2 linked regions of the Oryzias latipes genome follow. The protein of the gene in region 1 interacts with the protein of each later gene in a pairwise test. Links are inferred from orthologs where the notes say so. Each region holds a gene or a part of one and is shown on either strand. Other genes may lie near its edges.

Region 1 (3,995 bases):
TTCTTCCTTTCACACTGTTCATTTCACTGACAAACTGTCATGATCCTCCCCATAATGCTGTGACTAAAGGACACATTCTCCTTTCAGTGTCATTCCTCTGGTCTTCATGCCTTAATGTCCGATATGAAAGGGGGGGGGGTGCTCGATGATGGCATCAGGCAGGCAGTACACAGTCCTGAGCCAGCGGTGCTGGATGGGAGGTGTCGTCATCAAAGCCAGCACGCGGTCTATAGTTGTAATGTCATCTCAAACAGATCCATGTCAGAATTCCTAATGCAACGCCACATTAGGAAATGACACTGAGTAAGCAGTAATCAATAAATTCAAGGTCTTCACGCATGGCTGCGCCCTTAAAACAACCAATTAGAGCCTGCCACTCAAACTGTCCTTTAAGGGTACAAGTTTAAATATTAGGGGTGTAAAAATTCATTTTAAAAACAATTTGATCTATATCGTAATTTGTTGTTGCAGTTTCAATTCATAGTCGATACTGGTTCATTTTAAACAGTCCAATTCACTGATCTGAAATCAATCCAGAACATTTTCCGTCAGAACTTCAACCAGTAGGACTCTGAGATAAATACGGGTACTGAACAGTCCAGGTGAAGTTTTCTAGATTCCTTATATTACATGCAAGATAATCAAGTGTAAATTAAATATGTGTACAAACAATCAAGTAAACAAGAATCAATGTCAAATCCATTCACAGTTTAATTTAATTAAGTTGAGCCCACTGCTGTTTTACCACATTAAAATAGTCCAAAGGGAACATTATTAGAGCATTAAACCACAATGTTATGTCACATGTCTTTGCTAAATTCAAAGTGTTTCCACACATTGGACTGTAACGATGGCTTGACAAGTTTTTGCTGCCATCACGTGTGCATTGTCTGCTCTGATGCATTCGGTCGTTTTTACGTTGTAGTAAAATAAACCTACCATGTCTCAATCGAAATGGTATTTTCCAATATCGATATAATCGATTTTTGTCTTTAAAAATTACAGTATGAGGGTAAAGGTCGATACAACTAACGACTTCCTTCAAAAAGATTGATCTGGTTGGATCGTAGGATTGATTCATCGATTAAGTTGATACACCCCTAATGTGCGCAGTCTGAAATACAATGTGTTGCACCTGTAACAACAGCCTGTCAGTGTGTGCAGTGCAGGTGGTTGAGTGTATTTCTGTGAAGCCACATAAAGGGTGTTGTGGGACTGAGTCAGCGAGCAGCGCCTGTAACCTAAGACAGCCACCCCGAGTCTCAGAAGTCCCTGTGAATCTCCTCGGTGTGTTCATGCAGCTGATGATATGTGTCGAGGTGTAACATGACGCCTCCATGAAAGAGCCGCAGACACAATAAGGCGGGGGGAAACCTACAGCCCTGCGCTTGTCTCTGCTGCGGAGGACAAGGGTCTGCTCTGTTCACAAACTTACAGTAGCAGTCAGCATTAATGATTTACAGTTTGAAGTGCTTTAGTGTATTTAAACTGCTTTTAACTTCAACAAGACTAGATTTCAGAATTAATCCCAGAAATGAGTTATAAGAAGTAATACATATCTAATAAAAAAGAATTTTGTAACTCAGAAAAATCAAAAAGCATGCTAAAAATCTCCAATTTGACAATTGAAATCCCCCCTTCTTGCAGGTTCAGCTTCAACAAAACAGTGGGTTTCCTTAAGATTAATTCATTAATATATTTAAATGTAAAAAGAAAATCAAAAATGAAAGTCTTGCGCAATGACCATAGGTCACCTGTCAGCAACTGAAGTGAGATTATCCCCAACAGCAGACTTTAAGTCAAGCAACAACGCATGAGGTCACTTTTGGGTGCAATTTACAAGTTTGTGCAATATTGACAAATTATTATATGCCAAGTAAGCAAATAATAAATAAAAAAGAAATGAAGTTAAAATTATCAATAACAAAAATGATATCAAATAAAAAAGGCTTGTAATTTTGTTGTATGTTTAATGTAAAAAAATCACATATCCTCAAGAGGAAACATTTTAAAGTCACGATGTAAAGTTAATCTCCCTTTGTTCTTAGAAGTTCGGTTGGTATAAACAGGCACAAGAAAATTAAGTTTAGCTTCGAGGTTTTTTTGTTTTGTTTTTTTAGCATTAAAACACAAAATCTCTCAACACTTAACCAAAGTGTAAAAGTTAAACGAGCCGCGAGGTGCGCGCGCGCCACGCCGCGAGCGCTGTCACTCCGCGTCGAAGTGAAATGTCACCAGCTCAATTAAAAAGCACGAGACCCGCACATCTGTCCGTTTCGATAAAGGGATAAATTAGAAGTTAAAGAGAGGGCAAATTACACAAAGCAGCAGCGGCAGCAACAAACGTGTTGATGGGGTTTGGCAAGTCGCTCCACGCGCTGTCAAGAAAAAAAGAAAGAAAGAAACCACGAAGCGAAAACCCTGAGCCCCAGCACGTTTCTCGCTGTCTTTTCTTCGGCATTAAGTAGGTCTGTAAGAAACAAAGTAACTTACCCAATGACAGGAACGGTTTGGTTTCCATGTCGGACTCGTAGGTTAGCTCATGCCAGCTGAGACGACCGCGTTCGGGAGTTTGTCTCACTGCTCGAGCAGAACAAACCAGACCAAGGAGCCGCCGCCGCTACCGCTCTGGAGCTTCACGGAGCGATAAAAGTGACAGGTCGATGGCTGATAGTGTCAGAAGATAACCTAATGTTTCTACTTGTGTTTGCTCACTCAGCTGCTGCGCTCACTCCTCTGCTGCCTCCCCCTCTCTCGGGTGTAGAACAACTCCAACTGCTGGAAGTGCACAGCGAAGGGGACCTGCGCAGGGGGTACTCCCACCAACGCGCACAGGCCCGCAGCGACACGACAAACACAGATGTGAGGCTCGCTGAGAACTTCAGAAATCCAAACACATTCACAGAAATGCGCAGCTTCTCGCCAAAAAATCCCTTCAACTCCTTCCTTCTTTTTATCTTCTGTTGTTTTAACCTGGTCACACGTGTTACAGCTGCGCTATTAGCTTAACAGATAGACTTTTTAACTGCCTCCCCTCTTATCTAAGATGAGTCCATCCAAGCCCGGACATAGGTATGGACGGGGGAAGGGGGTTAATGCCCCCCCTAAACGGAGTTACTGTCCCCCCCAGAAAGATGTATGTATAAATGTATGTATATCAAGAAATATTATATATTTAAGAATATCATATAATAACAAATAAAATTTACAAAAAAACCCACACAAAACAGACAAAAAATCTATCTAAATAAAATAAAAGACAATAAAACACAAGGGTGGATGTACAGAAAGATGGTCAAATAGACAGACTTGTGCCAGGCCTAAGCCAAGCAAATGCAGAAGGTCCTGTGAGAAGAACTTCAACAAAAACCGTATGAAATAGATCAAAATAGTCTATATATATATGGATAGTTGAACCGATGTGATGATAGCATGATTTCCACACAGACTTGCCCCGATATTCTACTTATTCCTCGTGGGTTGGCTGGCCAAATTCTGCCCTAAGTCCAACCTTTTTTTTTTTTTTTCTCCAGAAGATCCCAGATCATAAAAACATATGTCACAACATGTCTGTTTTGATAACATTTGAATCTGATCTACTATCTGCTATTCAAAACAGCTTCAGTGAAACTGGGTGCAGGAACACTACAAAACAAAATGATATATTCATTGCTCACTTTGCAAAGGTAATACTCACAGATAAGAACAGTTGGGTCATTTGTATAGTATTCCAAAGCTTATACCAACTTGGATAATAGTGACGCCTTGCACGAGTATGGACTGTTTTATCAGGTTACTGTCTTCCCCCCTAAGGTTCAACAAAAAAGAAATATCAGTTACATTTTTCAAAGGATTACAAGCTTGGCACATTTATGATCGACACACTTATACTGATACAGTGTGGGTATGTGTGGCTGTTTGTTTACTTTTGTCGTTGGTTCTGAGGTGGCCTGCACTGTGACCTGTCCAGGATGTAGTGACCCGTTGGCCTAATG
Region 2 (3,470 bases), on another chromosome or scaffold:
GCTTGTTTTCATTTGAGTGAGCTACAGAACAAGTCTCAAACAATATTGCTTTAAAACTTATGTCCAGATTAAAAGCAAATAATTTATCCTAAGGCATTTGAGTTTGAGCCGGGTAAGATTGAAAAAATACAGTGTGTCCCAAGTACCGGGTTTAGAAACACAACCTTAAATGACTCACAGGACACAGCACTTCTATATTTGTCCAAGGTTTGTTGGGCAAGTATTCAACCTATTGACCCAAAGCAACTGTGATTTGAGATTTTGTTGAATTTCATGTCAAGAGTTCGTCATTTTTAACCAGTCTGTTTCTTTTTATTTGTGGAATTTCAAAGGGTTCTTATATCATCCAAAATCAACTTTTTTGAGCTTTAAGTGTATTGTAATTTTCATTCCTCACTGTAAACAACCCCAAAGGGGTATTTTGATCCATTCATGCATTTCTGAGCATTCCTCTAAAAACCTGTGCTCTGAGCACCAGCCCCTCCCAACCCACAACAACGAGTGGGTCCTCACATTGTGACGTCTCAAAGTGAGGAACAGCCCCTTCCAGAGTCTGCGCTGCAGCCCCAACCCCAGGGTAACACACATCCACTTTCTCTAGCTTATTCTGTTTCTATGCACATTCATCTTTGCAAAAGTTCGGATATTGTTTGTTTTCGAGGGAAAAACGCAGACACGCTGCTGTGGCTGACTCTAAGTTGACATCATGAAACGGGCGGACCCACCAGGAGAGAAAGCCGGTGCCTCAGAGATCGAGTCATTCTACTTCCGGGTATGAAATGAATTGTGAAAATAACTCATATTTCATAATAAAAACGTTCTTTAGGGCCAAAAGAATATATATCACATATATGGATATAGTTCACTCTGGAAGGCTCAATAAAAGCATGATGAAGGCCCCTTAAAAATAGTTTAGAGTAGCTTCTTTTTTATTTCTCTTTTAGTTTAAAAGCCAATACGTAGAATTTTCTCAAAATTTTCTCCCATATTGTCTAGTTTTACCACTGACTGAAATGACACTGTACTTTTGAGGATTTAAGTCAGGGGTCAATGCCCTCTTTGTGCCCTGGCCTTGTTCCAGTTTCACAGGTGTGATCTGGCAGGTGTAGTGACACAGTGTGGGTTGGATTACCACTGCAGTCCTTGGTAGCTTGGTACAGCCTGGGTTAATGACACTTGCTGGCAGATAAGGCCCATCCTTTTTGATATGTGTTACTCCAGCAGCTACTTTCATTGAGAAAATCTTATCAGTTTCCCAGGGTTGTTCCAGCAGTCACCTGGCAAAGCGAGCGGTTGTTTTTCACATCGAGTGTATTGACATTTCAAGGTCCACTGAACGGAGGGGGGTTGGCCCTATAAATATAGAAGAGGCAGCAGCACCACTCAGGAGCTCATGAGGAGTCTATCTGTGAGAGGACGCACGCATTCATCACCATTATATGTCATCGGGGGGAAAAAGATGGATAGCAGATGCCATTGCTTAACCAACAATGATAGGGTTTTGAATCCCATCCTCTACAACATCCTGAGCCAAATGGACAGCAGCATGCAGAGCCAAGACTGCCTCAACTACATCTCAGTGCCTCACAGGTGCAACTGCGAGGTGCGCCGGACACTGTGCTTAAAAAGTCCAAGTGAGATCTGCAAAGAAGCCTCAGCAGTTCTGGTTAAAACCGTCCACTTCATTAAGAGCCTGCCTGCGTTCAACCAGCTGCCACTGAGTGATCAGTTTGCGCTGTTGAGAAGCTGCTGGGCTCCCCTCTTTATTCTGGGGCTGGCTCAAGAACATGTGGACTTTGAGGTTACAGATGCCCCCGCTGACAGCATGCTGAAAAAGATTCTTCTGAACCGCCAGGAGAGCCCCGAGGCTAAAAGGGAGCAGCCCACCATGGCAGGCGTCAGCAAACTCAAGTCTTGCCTCAAAAAGTTTTGGAGTTTGGATTTAAGCCCAAAGGAGTATGCATACCTGAAGGGAACCACGATATTCAATCCAGGTACGAAGGTGCTGGATTCAGTAAAAGGATGAAGTATGTGTGTGTGCGTTAACTGACTTTACTCGTTTTCCTCGTCCACAGACGTTCCGGAATTAAAGGCTGGATTGTTTGTGGAGGGCTTGCAGCAGGAAGCTCAGCACGCCCTGAGGGAGGTGGTGCAGCTCCTTCACCCGGGTCGCGAGGAGCGCTTCGCTCGAATCCTGCTCACAGCTTCCATGCTGCAGGGCATCACACCCACCCTCGTCACCGAGCTCTTCTTCCGGCCCGTCATAGGCCAGGCTGACCTGCTGGAGCTGCTGGTCGACATGCTCTTTTACAGATAAGAACAGTGGACCTCAGCTGAGGGACTTTAAACCACATGACACCCAGGCTGGGAAAGGAATGTTGGACGGCTGCTGTGAAGCAGATTATAAAACCCCACAAAAAAAATGTAGATTTGATGAACAAGCCACCATGATTGCTCACATTCACGCAAAGCTGAGGTCACTTTATCTCTGTGTCAACAGATTTCCTTCCCCTAAGTAGAAGGATTTTCACACAGTGGCAGACTTGTCTCTTTCTATTAGAATATTTGATTTTGTCAATCTTTTCTGTTATTTCATTGTTGTAAATATGTGTCTTTTGCTTTTACAGGAAACTTCAAATAAATATATTTTTGTACACAAATGACAAATTACAGCCTCACGCTCTTGACTCACACCAAGCCAATGCCACTGTCACACTTAATCTGACAAATTCAGCTGTTAAACGCATATTATTGAGTCAAGATGTTGCTAAACTCAGATTGACAAATTTCTTAGTTGCAGTTGGATCTTGTTGGTGAACGTGGATATTTATCCACAAGAGCTCTTTCTTTTTCAAAAATGATGACAGGAATGTGTCACAGAATAATATTTCTTGTTCATTCCGAAGCTTTGTCTCCCTCTATTGGAAAACACATCCACAAGCAAATAAAAAGAAAGATCCTCGATCCCATTTCAACCTTATTTTACAATCTTATGATACGCTGAGAAGAAAAGGGTAAATCCAAGCCAACAAAGCAGTATTGTCTTAACAATCTTCATGCAAAAATCCCCACAGAAGCTGTTCACATTCATCCATTCTGTGGTATGATGGTTGTGAAACAGTCTCTCTTTACTTGACACCATATACAGGTAAAACAGGAATGCTGATGGTGGGGGCAGTGAGCCAGGGGAAATGGGGTAACACAGCACAAACAAAACATTTAAAAAAAAAAAAAAAAAAAGAGCTGGTGGTGGAAAATCTCCACTTTTTTCCTGCGTTTCCATCTTTTTAATTGAAGTCTTATCCCTTCAAGACTGTGTGAGAGGGATTGCCTTTTATAGTAGTTTCTCAAGCTGAACTACAACTGTTTATTCTGTTCCAGCAATTATAAAACAGACCCTGAGCAAATACATGTAGCAGCATTTTGCATTATACTTTCACTGATAAATATTTGTTTGGCCAAACAGATTT

What was found.
Region 2: the proteins of rxra (region 1) and nr0b2 interact in a two-hybrid assay, tested with the Homo sapiens proteins (2 studies listed by BioGRID and IntAct). The link is inferred for Oryzias latipes from reciprocal best matches to the Homo sapiens genes RXRA and NR0B2.

What each region holds. Positions count from the first base shown.
Region 1 is NC_019870.2:22,893,985-22,897,979, reverse strand, and holds the start of rxra (retinoic acid receptor RXR-alpha), read right to left. Parts: upstream 2,808-3,995; 5' UTR 2,522-2,807; coding exon 2,494-2,521; intron 1-2,493. UniProt on the Homo sapiens protein: Receptor for retinoic acid that acts as a transcription factor.
Region 2 is NC_019874.2:9,914,877-9,918,346, forward strand, and holds nr0b2 (nuclear receptor subfamily 0 group B member 2), read left to right. Parts: upstream 1-1,391; 5' UTR 1,392-1,393; coding exon 1,394-1,994; intron 1,995-2,075; coding exon 2,076-2,317; 3' UTR 2,318-2,964; downstream 2,965-3,470. UniProt on the Homo sapiens protein: Transcriptional regulator that acts as a negative regulator of receptor-dependent signaling pathways. Specifically inhibits transactivation of the nuclear receptor with which it interacts.